4 linked regions of the Saccharomyces cerevisiae S288C genome follow. The main gene of each other region encodes a partner of the protein of the gene in region 4 in a complex. Each region holds a gene or a part of one and is shown on either strand. Other genes may lie near its edges. A codon is read from its position in the direction of its gene.

What was found.
Region 1: the proteins of RPD3 (region 4) and SIN3 are in contact, whole or in part, in a cryo-EM structure (PDB 8HXX), measured with the Saccharomyces cerevisiae proteins. Residues at the interface, in NP_014069.1 of Saccharomyces cerevisiae: Asp26 (codon at 1,746), Ala27 (codon at 1,743), Asp28 (codon at 1,740), Gly30 (codon at 1,734), Asn31 (codon at 1,731), Tyr32 (codon at 1,728), Ala33 (codon at 1,725), Ala36 (codon at 1,716), Gly37 (codon at 1,713), His38 (codon at 1,710), Lys41 (codon at 1,701), His43 (codon at 1,695), Arg46 (codon at 1,686), Arg65 (codon at 1,629), Gln72 (codon at 1,608), Cys75 (codon at 1,599), Gln76 (codon at 1,596), Phe77 (codon at 1,593), His78 (codon at 1,590), Thr79 (codon at 1,587), Asp80 (codon at 1,584), Glu81 (codon at 1,581), Asp92 (codon at 1,548), Asp114 (codon at 1,482), Gly115 (codon at 1,479), Glu118 (codon at 1,470), Lys153 (codon at 1,365), Lys154 (codon at 1,362), Glu156 (codon at 1,356), Val167 (codon at 1,323); in NP_014639.1 of Saccharomyces cerevisiae: Cys748 (codon at 3,809), Glu749 (codon at 3,812), Ala750 (codon at 3,815), Phe751 (codon at 3,818), Gly752 (codon at 3,821), Pro753 (codon at 3,824), Ser754 (codon at 3,827), Tyr755 (codon at 3,830), Thr763 (codon at 3,854), Met765 (codon at 3,860), Pro766 (codon at 3,863), Cys767 (codon at 3,866), Ser768 (codon at 3,869), Gly769 (codon at 3,872), Arg770 (codon at 3,875), Asp771 (codon at 3,878), Met773 (codon at 3,884), Cys774 (codon at 3,887), Val777 (codon at 3,896), Leu778 (codon at 3,899), Asn779 (codon at 3,902), Asp780 (codon at 3,905), Trp782 (codon at 3,911), Val783 (codon at 3,914), Gly784 (codon at 3,917), His785 (codon at 3,920), Pro786 (codon at 3,923), Ala789 (codon at 3,932), Phe795 (codon at 3,950), Ile796 (codon at 3,953).
Region 2: the proteins of RPD3 (region 4) and EAF3 are in contact, whole or in part, in a cryo-EM structure (PDB 7YI3), measured with the Saccharomyces cerevisiae proteins. Residues at the interface, in NP_014069.1 of Saccharomyces cerevisiae: Arg99 (codon at 1,527), Val102 (codon at 1,518), Lys103 (codon at 1,515), Ser155 (codon at 1,359), Glu156 (codon at 1,356); in NP_015348.1 of Saccharomyces cerevisiae: Leu304 (codon at 2,769), Asp307 (codon at 2,778), Ser392 (codon at 3,033), Gln393 (codon at 3,036), Gly396 (codon at 3,045), Val397 (codon at 3,048), Met401 (codon at 3,060).
Region 3: RPD3 (region 4) and SAP30 share a complex: the UniProt entries of both Saccharomyces cerevisiae proteins name them as parts of the RPD3C(L) complex.

The regions. Positions count from the first base shown.
Region 1 is NC_001147.6:315,371-322,106, forward strand, and holds SIN3 (transcriptional regulator SIN3), read left to right. Parts: upstream 1-1,567; coding exon 1,568-6,178; downstream 6,179-6,736. Other genes in the region: TOP1 (DNA topoisomerase 1), read right to left, coding at 1-17; DNA-directed RNA polymerase II core subunit RPB11, read right to left, coding at 443-805; palmitoyltransferase PFA4, read right to left, coding at 6,488-6,736. UniProt on the Saccharomyces cerevisiae protein: Catalytic component of the RPD3 histone deacetylase complexes RPD3C(L) and RPD3C(S) responsible for the deacetylation of lysine residues on the N-terminal part of the core histones (H2A, H2B, H3 and H4).
Region 2 is NC_001148.4:608,319-611,890, reverse strand, and holds EAF3 (Eaf3p), read left to right. Parts: upstream 1-1,859; coding exon 1,860-3,065; downstream 3,066-3,572. Other genes in the region: i-AAA protease YME1, read right to left, coding at 1-1,410. UniProt on the Saccharomyces cerevisiae protein: Component of the NuA4 histone acetyltransferase complex which is involved in transcriptional activation of selected genes principally by acetylation of nucleosomal histone H4 and H2A. The NuA4 complex is also involved in DNA repair.
Region 3 is NC_001145.3:792,959-796,082, forward strand, and holds SAP30 (Sap30p), read left to right. Parts: upstream 1-1,960; coding exon 1,961-2,566; downstream 2,567-3,124. Other genes in the region: TPS3 (trehalose 6-phosphate synthase/phosphatase complex subunit), read right to left, coding at 1-411; YMR262W (putative endodeoxyribonuclease), read left to right, coding at 768-1,709; CUE1 (Cue1p), read left to right, coding at 2,847-3,124. UniProt on the Saccharomyces cerevisiae protein: Component of the RPD3C(L) histone deacetylase complex (HDAC) responsible for the deacetylation of lysine residues on the N-terminal part of the core histones (H2A, H2B, H3 and H4).
Region 4 is NC_001146.8:17,482-21,252, forward strand, and holds RPD3 (histone deacetylase RPD3), read right to left. Parts: upstream 1,822-3,771; coding exon 520-1,821; downstream 1-519. Other genes in the region: PEX6 (AAA family ATPase peroxin 6), read right to left, coding at 2,060-3,771. UniProt on the Saccharomyces cerevisiae protein: Catalytic component of the RPD3 histone deacetylase (HDAC) complexes RPD3C(L) and RPD3C(S) responsible for the deacetylation of lysine residues on the N-terminal part of the core histones (H2A, H2B, H3 and H4).

The sequences.
Region 1 (6,736 bases), on a different chromosome or scaffold from region 4:
GCATCAGCAATAGTCATTTTTACGCGTTTCAAGTTTCGAGCTCTGCCCTCCCTTTAGATTTTTTTTATTTGCTGTTTTAATACTATAAGAATAGGACTCAGGTAATTAGAGTAACAGAGAAAACAAAAAAGAATATTGCGCTCGTGTTAGTGTTGAAACAAAAAAATACAGTTGTTCTTTACGTGCATCGATCATATAAGAAAAGGGAAAAAAGCCGTAAAGTAAAAAAATAAAGAGCTTTCCATGGCTGGTTTTTTTTCTTTTTTTTTTTTTTTTTTGAAGACTACAGCAGGTATTACCCGGAGTGAAAAAGGTTTCTCACACTAAAATTTACGTGTTCAAGACATTGAAGTTATGTATAAATATATATGAGCGTATATTATGTGTATGTCCGTTTCCATTCTGTTTAGATTTTATGGCTATAGTATTAAACTCCTATATATCAAAATGCGTCGTCGGCGGCTAGAGTTTGCAGGTTCCACTCGGTTTCGAAATTTGTCTTCAGGGCGCCAAGCTTGTTAATGATGCTGTTACAGGCGTTTTTCAAGGCATCCTTCGGGTCGTAGCCCTCGGTGGTCTGTATTCTCAGCTTGAAACGAGCGAAGAAGGGATGCTCAACCTTGTAAGCGGCAAACAGCACTTTTCTGTCGTTCAGAAGTTCTGCACGAATCAGGTTTCCCAACGTGTGGTCCTCCTTCTCAAACGTTATCACTACTGCGTTGGGGGCTTTGGTGTCGGGGTCAATCTTTAGCTTGGATTCCCCTTCACCCAGAAGGAACAGTTCGAATCTGTCTGGAGCATTCATGATGCAGTTGTGTCCAAATGTATCTGGTTTGGTGGCTACGTAGCTATCTATTTAGGCTGCACGGCTCAGTTCTCTCGCTCTTCTTTTAACGGACCTCTTGTGTGTGCCAAAGCAGTGAACCTAGAATTTTCGCGGACACTTCCACTTTATTAAGTCCGGGTAATGATAATATTGAGCTTGCAAGTTTTTTGAACTCGGATAGCAGCATTATCCATGACATGACACGGATCTACCGACGAGGCTTACCGACGAGGCTTACCGACGAGGCTTACCGTGATCCCTCTCCAGTAGTCTGTAAATTCTGTTTATAATTTAAAAAATCTATCTTCTACTCCAGTCTTGTAACTACTGTTGTTACGCGCTGCCCAGAGTGTGGCACACACTGCGGGGTTACCCGTGTAACGTAGAATAAACCAGTACGGGTAATGATATCGGATTTTCTAGTGATTTTTTTCCATTCGCAAAAAAGTCGCCTTCATTTTGCAGTTCTTCAGCAAACGTGATTTGCAAAACAACGGTTACTCCCCTTCCCTATTACATTTGTCTTCCCTTTTTCGCACCAGCATTGCTAATATTCGAGGCACCGTACCTAACTAATCAGCTCATTCACGTACCACATATTCTTTGTTACTTCCCTCCCTCCACAACAGGCTACGCTATTGACCGCTTTCAGTATAGTCTCTTTACCCTTTTGTTGTGTTCGTTTGAGGTTATTTGGAAAAGGACAAAATATCTAAGAAACAAGTTATACATTGTACAAAAATGTCACAGGTTTGGCATAATTCGAATTCGCAATCAAACGATGTGGCTACTTCAAATGACGCTACGGGTTCCAACGAAAGAAACGAAAAAGAACCGTCCCTCCAGGGAAATAAGCCCGGTTTTGTTCAACAGCAGCAACGGATTACTTTACCCTCGCTATCTGCCTTGAGTACTAAGGAGGAAGATAGAAGAGATTCCAATGGCCAACAGGCTCTAACTTCTCATGCTGCTCACATATTAGGTTATCCTCCCCCACATTCAAATGCTATGCCCTCAATTGCAACTGATTCAGCATTGAAACAGCCCCACGAGTATCACCCTCGCCCTAAATCTTCGTCCTCTTCTCCCTCTATAAACGCTTCGCTTATGAATGCTGGTCCAGCTCCCCTCCCCACAGTGGGAGCCGCCAGTTTTTCTTTGTCGAGATTTGACAATCCATTACCGATAAAAGCTCCTGTTCATACAGAGGAACCAAAAAGTTATAATGGTCTTCAGGAAGAAGAAAAGGCGACGCAACGGCCTCAAGATTGCAAGGAAGTTCCCGCTGGTGTGCAGCCTGCTGATGCCCCTGACCCTAGCAGCAACCATGCAGATGCTAACGATGACAATAATAACAACGAAAATTCTCACGATGAAGATGCTGACTACAGACCTCTAAACGTGAAGGATGCCCTATCTTACCTCGAACAGGTCAAATTTCAATTTAGTTCGCGTCCGGATATCTATAATTTATTTTTAGATATTATGAAGGACTTTAAATCTCAGGCAATAGACACACCGGGCGTTATTGAAAGAGTATCCACTTTGTTCAGAGGTTATCCAATTTTGATTCAAGGGTTCAATACTTTTCTACCCCAAGGCTATAGAATCGAATGCTCCTCTAATCCGGACGACCCCATTAGAGTTACTACACCAATGGGTACTACGACAGTAAACAATAACATCAGTCCATCTGGTAGAGGTACAACGGATGCACAGGAACTTGGTTCTTTTCCAGAAAGCGATGGAAATGGTGTTCAACAGCCCTCCAATGTGCCAATGGTGCCTTCGAGTGTGTATCAATCGGAACAAAACCAAGACCAACAACAATCTTTGCCTCTTTTAGCTACTTCTTCTGGTTTACCTTCAATTCAACAACCTGAAATGCCTGCACATCGCCAAATCCCACAAAGTCAATCTTTAGTGCCTCAAGAAGATGCTAAGAAAAACGTTGATGTCGAATTTAGTCAAGCCATAAGCTACGTTAATAAAATTAAAACTAGATTTGCCGACCAACCTGATATTTACAAGCATTTTCTGGAAATACTACAAACTTATCAGCGAGAGCAAAAGCCAATAAACGAAGTCTACGCACAAGTGACGCATCTTTTCCAAAATGCTCCTGATTTACTAGAAGATTTCAAGAAATTCTTGCCGGACTCTTCAGCTTCTGCCAATCAGCAGGTGCAACATGCTCAGCAACATGCTCAACAACAACATGAGGCCCAAATGCATGCACAGGCACAAGCTCAGGCTCAGGCACAGGCACAGGTGGAACAACAGAAGCAGCAACAGCAATTCTTGTATCCAGCTTCGGGCTATTACGGCCATCCTTCTAACCGAGGTATTCCACAGCAAAACTTGCCTCCTATAGGAAGCTTCTCGCCTCCAACAAACGGTTCGACCGTACATGAAGCCTATCAGGATCAACAGCACATGCAACCACCCCACTTCATGCCCTTACCATCGATCGTTCAACACGGGCCAAATATGGTACATCAAGGGATAGCGAATGAAAATCCACCTCTATCAGATCTAAGAACGTCTCTCACTGAACAGTACGCTCCTTCTAGTATACAACATCAGCAGCAGCACCCGCAAAGTATTAGTCCTATAGCAAATACGCAGTATGGTGATATCCCTGTTAGACCGGAAATTGATTTAGATCCTAGCATTGTGCCTGTGGTCCCTGAACCCACTGAGCCCATCGAAAACAATATATCGCTTAATGAGGAAGTCACTTTCTTCGAAAAGGCCAAGAGGTATATCGGCAATAAACATTTATACACTGAGTTTTTGAAAATTTTAAATTTGTACTCTCAAGATATACTTGATCTTGACGATTTAGTGGAAAAGGTAGATTTCTACTTGGGTTCCAATAAAGAACTATTTACGTGGTTCAAAAACTTTGTTGGCTACCAAGAAAAAACCAAATGTATCGAGAATATTGTTCATGAAAAACATAGATTGGATTTAGATTTATGTGAGGCATTTGGCCCAAGTTACAAGAGGCTACCAAAAAGTGACACTTTCATGCCATGCTCAGGTAGGGATGATATGTGTTGGGAAGTCTTGAACGATGAATGGGTTGGACATCCTGTATGGGCTTCCGAAGATTCGGGATTTATTGCTCATCGTAAAAACCAGTATGAGGAAACACTATTCAAGATCGAAGAGGAAAGACATGAGTATGATTTTTACATTGAATCAAATTTAAGAACTATTCAATGTTTGGAAACAATTGTAAATAAGATCGAGAACATGACTGAGAATGAAAAAGCCAATTTTAAACTGCCTCCAGGTCTTGGCCATACTTCAATGACTATTTATAAAAAAGTGATAAGGAAAGTTTATGATAAGGAAAGGGGGTTCGAGATTATTGATGCTTTGCATGAGCACCCTGCAGTGACAGCCCCAGTCGTTCTGAAAAGGTTAAAGCAAAAAGACGAAGAATGGAGAAGAGCTCAACGTGAATGGAATAAAGTTTGGAGGGAGTTAGAACAGAAGGTTTTTTTCAAGTCATTAGATCATTTAGGCTTAACATTTAAACAGGCTGACAAGAAATTATTAACTACAAAGCAGTTGATATCAGAGATTAGCAGCATCAAAGTTGATCAAACAAACAAAAAAATTCACTGGTTAACTCCTAAACCAAAGAGCCAGTTAGATTTTGATTTCCCTGATAAAAACATTTTCTATGATATCTTGTGTTTGGCTGACACTTTTATAACCCATACCACAGCCTATTCTAATCCCGATAAAGAAAGATTGAAAGATTTACTAAAATACTTCATCTCTTTGTTTTTTTCTATTTCTTTCGAAAAAATCGAAGAATCGTTGTACTCCCATAAGCAAAACGTGTCAGAATCTAGCGGATCTGACGATGGCAGTTCTATTGCATCAAGGAAGAGGCCCTATCAACAAGAAATGAGTTTACTTGATATTTTACACAGGAGCAGATATCAAAAGCTAAAGCGTTCTAATGATGAAGATGGCAAAGTTCCCCAGCTCTCTGAACCACCCGAAGAAGAACCTAATACCATTGAGGAGGAAGAGCTCATCGATGAAGAAGCTAAAAATCCGTGGCTAACTGGGAATTTAGTGGAGGAAGCAAACTCTCAGGGTATTATCCAAAATCGCAGTATTTTTAATCTATTCGCTAATACGAATATTTACATATTTTTCCGTCATTGGACAACGATTTATGAGCGGCTTTTGGAAATTAAGCAAATGAATGAAAGGGTCACAAAGGAAATCAACACAAGGTCGACAGTTACTTTTGCCAAAGATCTAGATTTATTATCGAGTCAACTTTCCGAAATGGGACTAGATTTTGTTGGTGAAGACGCGTACAAACAGGTTTTAAGACTGAGTAGAAGGTTGATTAATGGGGATCTTGAACATCAGTGGTTTGAAGAGAGTTTGCGGCAAGCTTACAATAACAAAGCGTTTAAACTCTATACAATTGATAAAGTCACCCAATCGTTGGTAAAGCATGCTCATACCTTGATGACTGACGCTAAAACTGCGGAAATAATGGCTTTGTTCGTTAAAGATAGAAATGCCTCCACCACGAGTGCGAAGGACCAAATTATCTATCGCTTGCAGGTGCGCTCACATATGTCCAACACAGAAAATATGTTTAGAATAGAGTTTGATAAAAGAACTCTGCATGTTTCCATTCAATATATTGCACTTGATGATTTGACACTAAAGGAACCAAAGGCAGACGAAGATAAATGGAAATATTATGTAACATCGTATGCTCTGCCACATCCAACAGAAGGCATTCCGCACGAGAAACTGAAGATACCATTTTTGGAAAGGCTCATCGAATTTGGACAAGATATTGATGGAACAGAGGTAGATGAGGAGTTTTCCCCCGAAGGCATCTCTGTATCGACATTGAAAATTAAGATCCAGCCTATAACCTACCAACTGCATATTGAAAACGGGTCTTACGATGTTTTTACCCGTAAGGCTACTAACAAATATCCTACTATTGCTAATGATAATACTCAAAAAGGAATGGTTTCTCAGAAGAAGGAGTTGATATCAAAATTTCTAGACTGTGCAGTTGGTTTGAGAAATAATTTAGATGAGGCTCAAAAATTAAGTATGCAAAAAAAATGGGAGAACCTAAAAGACAGCATAGCAAAGACGAGTGCTGGAAACCAGGGAATAGAGAGTGAAACCGAAAAAGGTAAAATTACGAAACAGGAGCAGTCGGATAATTTGGACAGCTCTACTGCAAGTGTACTGCCTGCATCCATTACTACTGTACCACAAGATGATAATATAGAAACGACTGGGAATACTGAATCTTCAGACAAGGGGGCTAAGATTCAATAAGTAGTTTTAACTAGATTTAGAACAAAAATCTTTAGTACGACAGGGTCTTTCTTCTGATGTGTACCTTTAATTAATGTCAACGATATAACATTGTAATTTTAAAATTCTAAGTGTTTTTGAAGCTTTTTAAGACACATCGATCTTTCCATAAAGGAAGAAGTGATAACATGCAGTGGTTATATTTGTGTACTCATACACTGGTGCATGAATCTTTTTACACGTCATTAGCATAGTATGTAATCGAAAGGACACTATTTATAAGGGACAGTTTATACATACATATACTTGATATTCCCATGAATGAGTATTCTATTCCATATCAACATCCACTCCAAAATCGTCTAGTGATTCACCCCAGTCGTTGTACCACTTCTCACGAGAAGCATGTCTGCCATTTTGAGGAAGTCTGGTCCTTATTAGCTGTTCGCCACTTTCATTACGCATCTCTATTGTTGAGCTGCCATGATTGAAGACGGTGTTTGTTTTACCTCCATCTGGTGGCCAGGGAAGTGAAAGGATGTGGTCTTCCAATGAGGAGTTAGCCTCATATTTTGAAAT
Region 2 (3,572 bases), on a different chromosome or scaffold from region 4:
CACATTGTCTGCCAATGTAATCTTCTTCATGTGATGCTTTAAAATATCAGCACGACCACGAACATCTGGCAAATCCACATTCACAACCTTATCAAATCTACCTGGTCTAGTTAACGCCTTATCTAAAGCCTCAGGGAAATTTGTGGCACCAATAATAATAATTCCACTTGTTTGTGAGAAACCATCTAATTCGACCAATAACTGATTCAACGTTTGTTTGGCGTAAGCTTGGTCCTTTGGATTACGCTTACCACCGATGGCATCTAATTCATCAATAAAAATAATAGCTGGTGCACGAGAACGCGCTTGAGCAAACAAATCACGGATACGTTTAGCACCAACACCGACGTAAACTTCATCAAATTCAGAACCTGACATAAAGAAAAAATCTACACCAGCCTCTCCGGCAGTGGCCCTAGCCAACAAAGTTTTACCTGTACCAGGAGGTCCAGTCAACAGTACACCCTTTGGTAGTTTACCACCCAAGGACTCGTACTTAGTTGGATCTTTCAGGAAATCAACAATTTCTTCCAATTCCGCACGGGCCTCATCACAACCGCAGACATCATCAAATTTAACATTTGTCTTAGCTACATCAACTGATTTGTCGGCTACTTCTGACGACTTTAGTAGCGTTGTATTTTCTGTGATGTATTTAAAACCTTCAGAAAAAGAGTAGGTTAAGATACCGAAAACAAGCAGCCACTTTACCCATCTCGATACAACAGTAAAAGTTGATTCAGATACGACAACATGTAGTGGCTCTTTGCGAGATCCATAAAGCGGAGAATACATCGATGGAAAGTTACCATGATAACCTGACTGGTTTGATGAAGATGACGCCAATGATGGGTTAACTGCGCCAGCAGAGCTGGCTGTCAGTAGGTTTTGTCTAACGGCATCAGCCTCCGAGTGTCTGCCTATCCTCTGCAGGGCCTCCATGTACAGTTCCATGCATTCAGGCGATGACGCAATACCGGGGGTCTCAAACCTAGAGACCACGTATTGCGGGTAGTTTGATTGTAAGAGAAGTTTGTAAAAGGCTGCTTGTGCATCAGGACTCGTTAAGTCTTTATTGGCCTCTTGTTCTCTAGTTGCTAGCATAGCATGTGACACAGCTACGTTCGCTTGTTTGGTTTTATCATTAGTGTTCGATGGAGGTGGTGGTTGCGAATTGTCGATTGAAGATATCGTGGATTTATTGGATGCCTTTCCAGAGCTATCAGCTTCCTTCTTAGGAGGCATTTCACCGCTATTCTTTTCAGAATAAAAACGGTAGAACTTCTTTGATCTTAAGGCCCATTTTTTTTGAACTAACAAAGAAGCACCGATTTGAGGTAGCCTGGGAGCAAATATGCGTAAAACATTTGTCGTGACCGTGGGCGACACAAGTATTTTTGAAACGTTCATCTATCACGTCTCTGTTTTCGTTCTATCCACAATGTATTATAATTAAAAATTGCTTCAATAAAATCCTGTTTATCCTTTAAGCTGTGCTTGCTTTTTACTTATCAAAAACGCAAGGTAGAGATTTAACTCACTTCACCAACTCCGATATATTGCCTTTTCACTACCGCTACAGCGTACAGGAGCTACCACTCCTCGAAGAAAGAGGTACCATGTGATTCGAGATTACTAACCAACCGATGCTGATAGAAAAAGGTGGCGAAGATTGGGGGCCGTTCCTCCGGCGATCGCCACATATCGCATTTCACGAAAGATGAAAATAAAGATGCATCCGAAATCCCGACCAGAAACGTAAAAGGGTATATTGCAAAACAGTCGTTAAAAGCATATAGCATTTTGCATTAGCATCTGTGAGGCCTCGTCACTGGATTTACCCTATTGAAGAACGTATAATGGTTGATTTGGAGCAGGAATTTGCGCTCGGTGGGCGGTGTCTGGCATTCCATGGTCCTCTTATGTATGAAGCAAAGATCTTGAAAATATGGGATCCATCTTCGAAAATGTATACCAGCATTCCTAATGACAAGCCAGGTGGTAGTTCACAAGCAACTAAGGAAATAAAGCCACAAAAGCTGGGAGAAGATGAAAGCATTCCAGAAGAGATCATTAATGGGAAGTGTTTTTTCATACATTACCAAGGCTGGAAGTCGAGTTGGGATGAGTGGGTTGGATATGATAGGATACGGGCCTACAATGAAGAGAATATTGCCATGAAAAAAAGACTGGCGAACGAGGCGAAAGAAGCTAAGAAATCGTTACTGGAACAGCAGAAAAAAAAGAAGCTCTCCACTAGTCTGGGAGGGCCTAGTAATGGTGGAAAAAGAAAGGGAGACAGCCGCTCGAATGCTAGTATAAGTAAGAGCACTTCACAGAGTTTTTTAACATCTTCAGTGAGCGGCAGGAAAAGCGGAAGAAGTTCCGCTAATTCCCTCCATCCTGGCAGCTCTTTGCGCTCGTCATCCGACCAAAATGGGAATGATGACCGCAGAAGATCTTCTTCGCTATCGCCAAATATGCTACATCATATTGCCGGCTATCCAACCCCCAAGATTTCCCTTCAAATTCCCATAAAATTGAAGAGCGTGTTAGTCGACGATTGGGAATACGTAACGAAGGACAAAAAAATTTGCAGACTACCCGCTGATGTGACGGTAGAGATGGTACTGAATAAATACGAACATGAAGTGAGTCAAGAATTGGAATCGCCAGGGTCCCAGTCACAGTTGAGCGAATACTGTGCCGGTCTCAAGTTGTATTTTGACAAGTGCCTGGGTAATATGCTTTTATATAGGTTGGAACGGCTGCAATATGACGAACTTCTGAAAAAATCATCGAAGGATCAAAAGCCACTAGTACCAATTAGAATTTATGGGGCTATCCATCTGTTAAGGTTGATAAGTGTTTTACCAGAGCTGATCTCGTCTACTACAATGGATCTACAAAGCTGTCAGCTTTTAATCAAACAAACCGAAGACTTCTTGGTTTGGTTGTTGATGCATGTGGACGAATACTTCAATGACAAGGATCCAAATAGAAGTGACGATGCTCTGTATGTAAATACGTCTAGCCAATACGAAGGAGTGGCTTTAGGTATGTGAGACGTTTATATTCTAGCTTGGGATTATTTCTAGTATTTAGTTCTTCCGTATTTATGCAATAACTCTTCACAGAATATCTCGTGTAAGAATATGGACACTGTTCGTGGCACTTTACGAAATTCAAGTTTATTCTCTTTGCAAGGTTCTTAGGGTAATGGCAGCTCTGAAAGGGGCTTGTCGAGTTAAAACATCATTAATGATTATATTTTATTTTTGTTATTTTTCTGACGTATCCATCGTTTCGCATCTAGTATGAGCTTACTAAGAGCTTCGTATATAATGTACTATCATCTTCACTTACTCGTTTGCACACTACCAAGTTCTGTCCAGGGCTCCTTGTTTTATATTTTTAGTGTAATTGCATGGTCTATGCAACATGATTAAAGCAGCATCACACGCGCCATTATATAATCTAAAATAGTCCGTTGTCGTGCGCATTCTTCTGTGGCGCGTCTTATATGAGAAAAGGGTCTTTCGAAGTCATTAACCCTCTGACGCAGCAAAAAA
Region 3 (3,124 bases), on a different chromosome or scaffold from region 4:
TTCCTCGACTGAAGGCCGCTGGGCAGTTGAGCCAGAAGAAACTGGGTTATTAGCTGGCGGAATACCAGAGTTTGCTGCATGAGTGGCATTGGCAGTCAGCTCTTCCAGGAATTGCTCTGAGGAAAGCATTTCCATCTCATTATGATAGTTAACTCCCGTAGCAGGAGAGCCCACATTGGCCCTTTGTAAGGGTTCACCGTTAATTTGCGCCTCCTGAGGTAAGCCAATATAATGAGAGCTTGCCGAAGTTACAGAACTGCTTCTTTCTTGCTTGTTGTTGCTCAATTCCTGGTTGTTGCAGTCTACCTTGATCATACTTGATTCAACCAGCTTAGCAGTATCCGAGTTGGTGACATCAGCCTCGAATTGAGGGGTATATGGTAAGAATAAAGAAGCGACGATAATAGTCATTGAGGTTGCCCGTGGTTATTAGTCTGTGGTTTTTTGAATAGGAAGCAATAAATTATAAAGCCAGGACCTGCAATAACGTTTGTACTGTTTTATTGTGATAAAAGATGAAGCGGAATAGCAACGGTACTTAAAACTTATGTCTTAGACTTAATACTATTGAATGTTTGCTCGTCCACTTGATGCTCCCTGGAGTTGCCGTTGCTGCGTGCTGAAGGGGATTAATTAATTCCAGGGGCACCGCGCGAAGCCCAGGAGGACAATTGATTACGTAGGGAAGAAAGGGCCCTTTTAGAAGACTGGCAATTGCAACTCTATCGAGGTTAGGTGTTACACTACGCTGTTCATTGAGGAAGTAGATGAATAAACTTGTTGATGCCCACTGTCATGTTATAACCGACCCAGACAACACATTCTGCGGTGATGATGGAGGGTCCCAGGGTACGTTGCGTTGCGTTATGTCATCAAACCCATATGACTGGAACAATTTGAAAAAATTGGCTGGCAGAAGCACAAGTAAAAACGATATATGCGTGGGATTTGGTGTGCATCCTTGGTACAGCCACTTATTTTATGTGGGAAGTCGGCGCGACAAGGTTTCTCACTATCAAGATGTACTGGAGTATAAGAATGAAGAACAGTTCGACAGTTTGGTTCAGGTGCTTCCCGAACCTCTAGATCTTGAAGAGTATATAAAAAGAGAGTTTAACGACACTTTGGTTAGTGTGATTGGAGAAATCGGTCTTGATAAGCTCTTCAGACTTCCTGCAAATGGTTTCTACATGCAGAACGAGAAGGCAAGGCTTACGACAGTGAAGGTCAAACTATCGCATCAAGAAACAGTATTCAGGCGATTTTGCCGACTGGCAAGGCACACAAGCAAGCCCATCTCTATACACGATGTAAAGTGCCACGGGAAACTAAACGATATCTGCAATGAAGAGCTCTTGACGTATCACTCTGTCAAGATATGTTTACATTCGTACACAGGCTCCAAGGAAACGCTTCTGGGCCAATGGCTCAAGAAGTTTCCCCCGGATCGTATTTTTGTGAGCCTATCCAAATGGATTAATTTTAAGGACCCAGAAGAGGGAGATGCCCTGGTCAGGAGCTTGCCCTCAACTTGCATACTTACTGAAACCGACTATCCTATTGACAATCCAGATCCGTCATACCAAAAGGCCCTTACAGAGCAGCTGCAGTATTTGAATGCACAAATCGCACGAGCATGGGACGAGACACTGGATGCCTCACAAGCCGCTTTGCGTGTATACGAAAACTTTCAGAAATTTATCAAGTGAAACGCTTTTGAGGTGGCAGCATAGCACTGTAATGAGATATATTAAGTAGGCTTGCTGTATACCATTTCTTGCTATGCATGTGTTTTAGCAAGGCAACGCCGTTCCGGAAGGGAAAAAGCGCTCTTTTTTATATACTGTGAAATTTTCAGATTTTAACTTAGAAATTATATAAAAGCGGTTGTGTATCTATTGTGATAATGCAATTCCTTTATAGTTTAGCAAATCGAAGGATAGGTATATACTGAGTAGTAATGGCTAGGCCAGTTAATACAAACGCTGAAACGGAATCGAGAGGCAGACCCACTCAGGGTGGTGGTTACGCAAGTAACAACAATGGCAGCTGTAACAACAACAATGGCAGCAATAATAACAATAATAACAATAATAATAATAATAATAACAGCAATAACAGCAATAACAATAACGGGCCTACCTCCAGCGGGAGAACCAATGGGAAGCAAAGACTCACAGCTGCACAACAGCAGTACATTAAGAATCTCATAGAGACACATATCACCGACAACCACCCTGATCTGCGCCCCAAGAGTCACCCAATGGATTTCGAAGAGTATACGGATGCGTTCCTGAGAAGGTATAAAGACCACTTTCAATTGGACGTACCGGACAACCTGACGCTGCAGGGATACTTATTGGGTTCCAAATTGGGCGCGAAGACTTATTCATACAAGAGGAACACACAGGGGCAGCACGATAAAAGGATACATAAGAGAGACCTGGCCAACGTGGTGAGAAGGCATTTCGATGAGCATTCCATTAAAGAGACAGATTGCATACCGCAATTTATATACAAGGTAAAAAACCAGAAGAAGAAATTCAAGATGGAATTTCGGGGTTGATCAAACGATGAGGCAGCCCTTTTGTGTATAAGTTATGTAAACTTTTAAGGTGGTAATTGTTAAAATGGACAGTAACACTTGTTTATTTGCTAGTATTCCATTTAGTTTAATGCCTTTTTGTATACGGTGCGGGTAGCTGTCGCGCCATTTTAAACGATCTAATATAACTGAGGTGGGCCTGTCATTGATGCATTGAATAGACAACTCATCAACCTATTTCTTATAAAAGGCGCCATAAAGCATTACAATCTACGATCGCGCAAACTTTTTTCTTTTGGCCATGGAGGATTCGAGATTGCTTATCACTTTGATTCTTGTGTTTGGAGTTATATTTCTGAAAAAATTCTTCCAAAGTAATCAGCATCCCTCAGCACAACGCTTATCCGCTACAGGTGTAAACGCACACGGACGTCCTCAGGGCTCCACGCAGAATGCCTTGAGAAGGACTGGTAGAGTCAATGGAGGTCACCCCGTGACTACTCAGATGGTGGAAACAGTGCAAAATCTAGCCCCTAACTTACATCCTGAGCAAATTAGGTATAGTTTGGAAAACACAGG
Region 4 (3,771 bases):
AGCGAATTTGAAAATATATGCAATTAGAAGAGAGTGAATCAGATGAGGATAGGGTTAATACTGTAAAATTATTACCAAATATTGAATGACATATAAAAGTCGTAGTAACCGAATTTGTTTTTTATTATGAATAAAGACTTCTTGTTTTCGCATACTTCGATGATTTAAGAAATTAAAAGTCATTTACCCAGGCGTGATTATAAATTATATTGGCACCGCTTTATCAACAGCGGTGGGACGAGACGTTTAGATAGTAATTACAATAGAAATACAACTGTTTCAATATTAAAATATCTCTAGTATGTAAATAACACATATAGGCAATTTTCTTCGAAACGTATGGGACGCGGTTGATGTATGAACGGAACGCATCAATTAAAGGTTTGAGAAAAGTCTTTTGCAAAAAAATTGAGTTTGCACTTCTCATACACAATTGGATAGCGTCTTAAGTGCCTTTTATTCACTTTTCTTCTTTTGTTTCACATTATTTATATTCGTATATACTTCCAACTCTTTTTTTCAATAGAATTCATTGTCATGCTCAACATGTAGGTCCCTCGCATATTGCGAACCACCCTTCGTATCTTTAGCCTCGGCAGAATCTTCTTCAACATCACCCAAATCTTCGGCATCCCTAGGTGTGTGATTCAACTGAACACTAGGGGCATACTTTGTGTTTTCCAAATTAGCAAATATATTGGTCATTACCTTGTCAAGATATTCGGGAGTATTTACATTGAACATATTCGAAGGTCTAACACTTAACTTATAATCTGGACCGTAATATTCGTAATATTCATTGTACGGTAAATCTTTATCCAAGACAACGTTATTTAGTAGACCTGTTTCAAAGCACCATGTCCTTGCAACATTTCTCATAGTATAGCCTCCTCCACCAACAACCATCATTGGGATCCCAAAGGATTTCACATAGTTTACACAATTAGCATGGCCTTCCATGGAAAGATTAAAGCAACCAAGACGATCGCCGGACAAGGAGTCCCCACCACACTGTAACACGACAGCAGAAGGTTGATACCATTCCATAATTTTTTTTATCACAGGTTCAAACACAGATCTATACGTAGCATCGTCAATACCGTCTCTTAATGGCACATTGACCGCGTAGTTTTTTCCTGCACCCACCCCTATATCTCTCAGTTCACCTGTGCCAGGGAAAAACTCACCATATTTGTGGAAAGAACATGTCATGACACGATCCGTTGTATAAAACGCTTCCTCTACACCATCACCATGGTGCACATCAATATCAATATACAGAACTCTGGGGTGGTATCGTAGTAGCTCAATAATGCCCAGTACTATGTCATTTAAATAACAAAACCCAGAAGCTTCCGATTTTTTTGCATGATGCAAACCACCCGCATAGTTGACAGCAACATCACATTTGCCTCTATTCAGACGAGCAGCTCCTTCCATAGAGCCACCACCAGATATGCTACAGTACTCATAGAGCCCATCAAAGACAGGACAATCATCTCCGACATTAAACTTGACACTTTCTCTTTTAAACATTTCTAAATTATCTGGAGTAACCCTCGATAAAAAATCAATGTATTCATCAGTATGGAACTGACACATTTCTTGTTTCGTTGCCGGCTTAGCTCTGTAAATTTCCATCTTCTTGTACAAGCCATAATTCATAATAAGGGAATGTGCCATTCTTATTCTATGCGGCTTCATCGGGTGACCTGCTCCATATGCATAGTTCCCAACGTCTGCATCGTAAAAATATGCAACGCGTCTTTTATCGCTTGGCTTGACCGTGATCGGATCAAAAGGTGTTGCTTCATATACCATCTGCACGGATATCGAGTTGTAGCCACGAATGTTTTGTATGGCGCAATTGTTTTATGAACCTTTATGGTTATTACTTCAAATTTTTATTATGTATAATCAACTACTAGTATCTTTTCTGTTTTTCCCTTTCGATAGATACTATGAGCCGGGGAGGGTAAGTAAATAAAAAGATAAATTTCAAGGCAAAATATGGGACATATATTTACAAATTTACCTATACGCTCTGAGTTGATATTACTTAAGCACCTTCAAAATTAGCTCTCACCGCTTCATAATGATTCAGTTCAGCCCGCGACACACTTGGGGTGAGCTGCTCTTGTGCTTTCAAGAAGTCTTCCATTTTTACGACAACCTTAGTATCCTCTTTTGTCGCAATCTTATCAAACCAGCGACGTGTAGAAATATTCTCTCCCGTCAATTCGTTATGCTGAGAAACTTTTTTTTCTACCATGCGTGCAATTCTTGACATGGCGTTAAGCATTGCATCTGAGCAGAGAGCATAAAAATCTGCCCCGGTGTAATTAAATGGACATAGCTTTGCCAACTCAATAAGCTTTACGTCGTTGTCGAGCACGAATTTGCGAGTCAGAGCCTCTAAAATATTCAATTGTTTGGTATCCGTATCCGGAATGCCTAAATATAACAATTTATCGAATCGTCCTGGTCTTAGTAGTGCTTCGTCCAATAAGTCTGGTCTGTTTGTTGCTCCGATAACAAATACACCGTCAGCGTCGGTACTCATACCATCTAACTCTGCTAGTAACTGTGAAACGATACGATCCATAACACCACCCGAATCACCTTGATTACCACGTTTGGGTGCTACTGAATCGATTTCATCGAAAAATATGACACAAGGTTTAGCCTCTCTCGCCTTTTGAAACACTCTGCGCACATTAGCTTCACTCTCACCAATGTACATATTCAACAGTTCAGGGCCTTTAACACTAAAAAAATTTAAAGAAAAATTTGTTGCAATGGCCTTAGCCATTAGAGTTTTACCTGTACCCGGTGGACCATAAAAAAGAATACCGCTTCTCTTTTTCATACCTGAGGTAAATAATTCAGGATGTTTTAGCGGCATGTCTATTGTGTCCAATATTTCACCTTTAACAAAATCAATACCACCTATATCATCCCAAGTTACGTTAGGGATTTGTGGGGCACCAATCGAAACCGAGAATTCGTTCCTAGCTTTCGAAGTAGCTTTTGATAAATCCTCCTGAGTGATCAAAATTGATTGCGGAAGCCATCCACACTTCTTTGATTCTTGGTAAAAACGCGCAGTAGCCGTCATTCGTGCCGTTTCCACAATTGATTTGATGTCTAAAGGAGTTAAACCAGCAGAATATGAAGAGAGTGATGAAAATGAAATATTATCCATGTAAGATACTGGAACCTTTTGTTGAACATCTCTGTTTAGTTCATGTGAAGATAAGTACCACTGAAAGATACGCAGTCTCTGTGCTTCAGACGGAACGGGTACGAGAATCTCAAATCTCATATGTGATCTAAAGCTGGAAGGCACGTTATCTATGTTATTTACGGAGCCAACAAATGTAGTTCCTGGGAATTTAAACGTAAAATCGTCCAGAAGTTTAGACATTTCGAAGTTTATAGATTTTTGTAATTTGATTGCCTCTGGATCTTGATTAGCGTTTACGTCAAGCAAAATTGAATCCAAATGAGCCAAAAAAATCACAGCAGGTGATGCGTACGGTAGGACATTTTCACATTTAGCCCTAATGTAACCAATAATCTTAGATGTTGAATCCAGTTGTCTTGAATTTGAAGTGAGCGAAAGGCAATCTATCTCCAGTAGATGTATACCAAGATATTTTGAAGCAAATCTCACCATTGTAGCCTTGCCCACATTGTTTGTAGTGGAATGAAGTAACACAGAGGCATTTAGGGTGATTCCCCTTTGAGAACAATTGAAGGAAGTTTCTA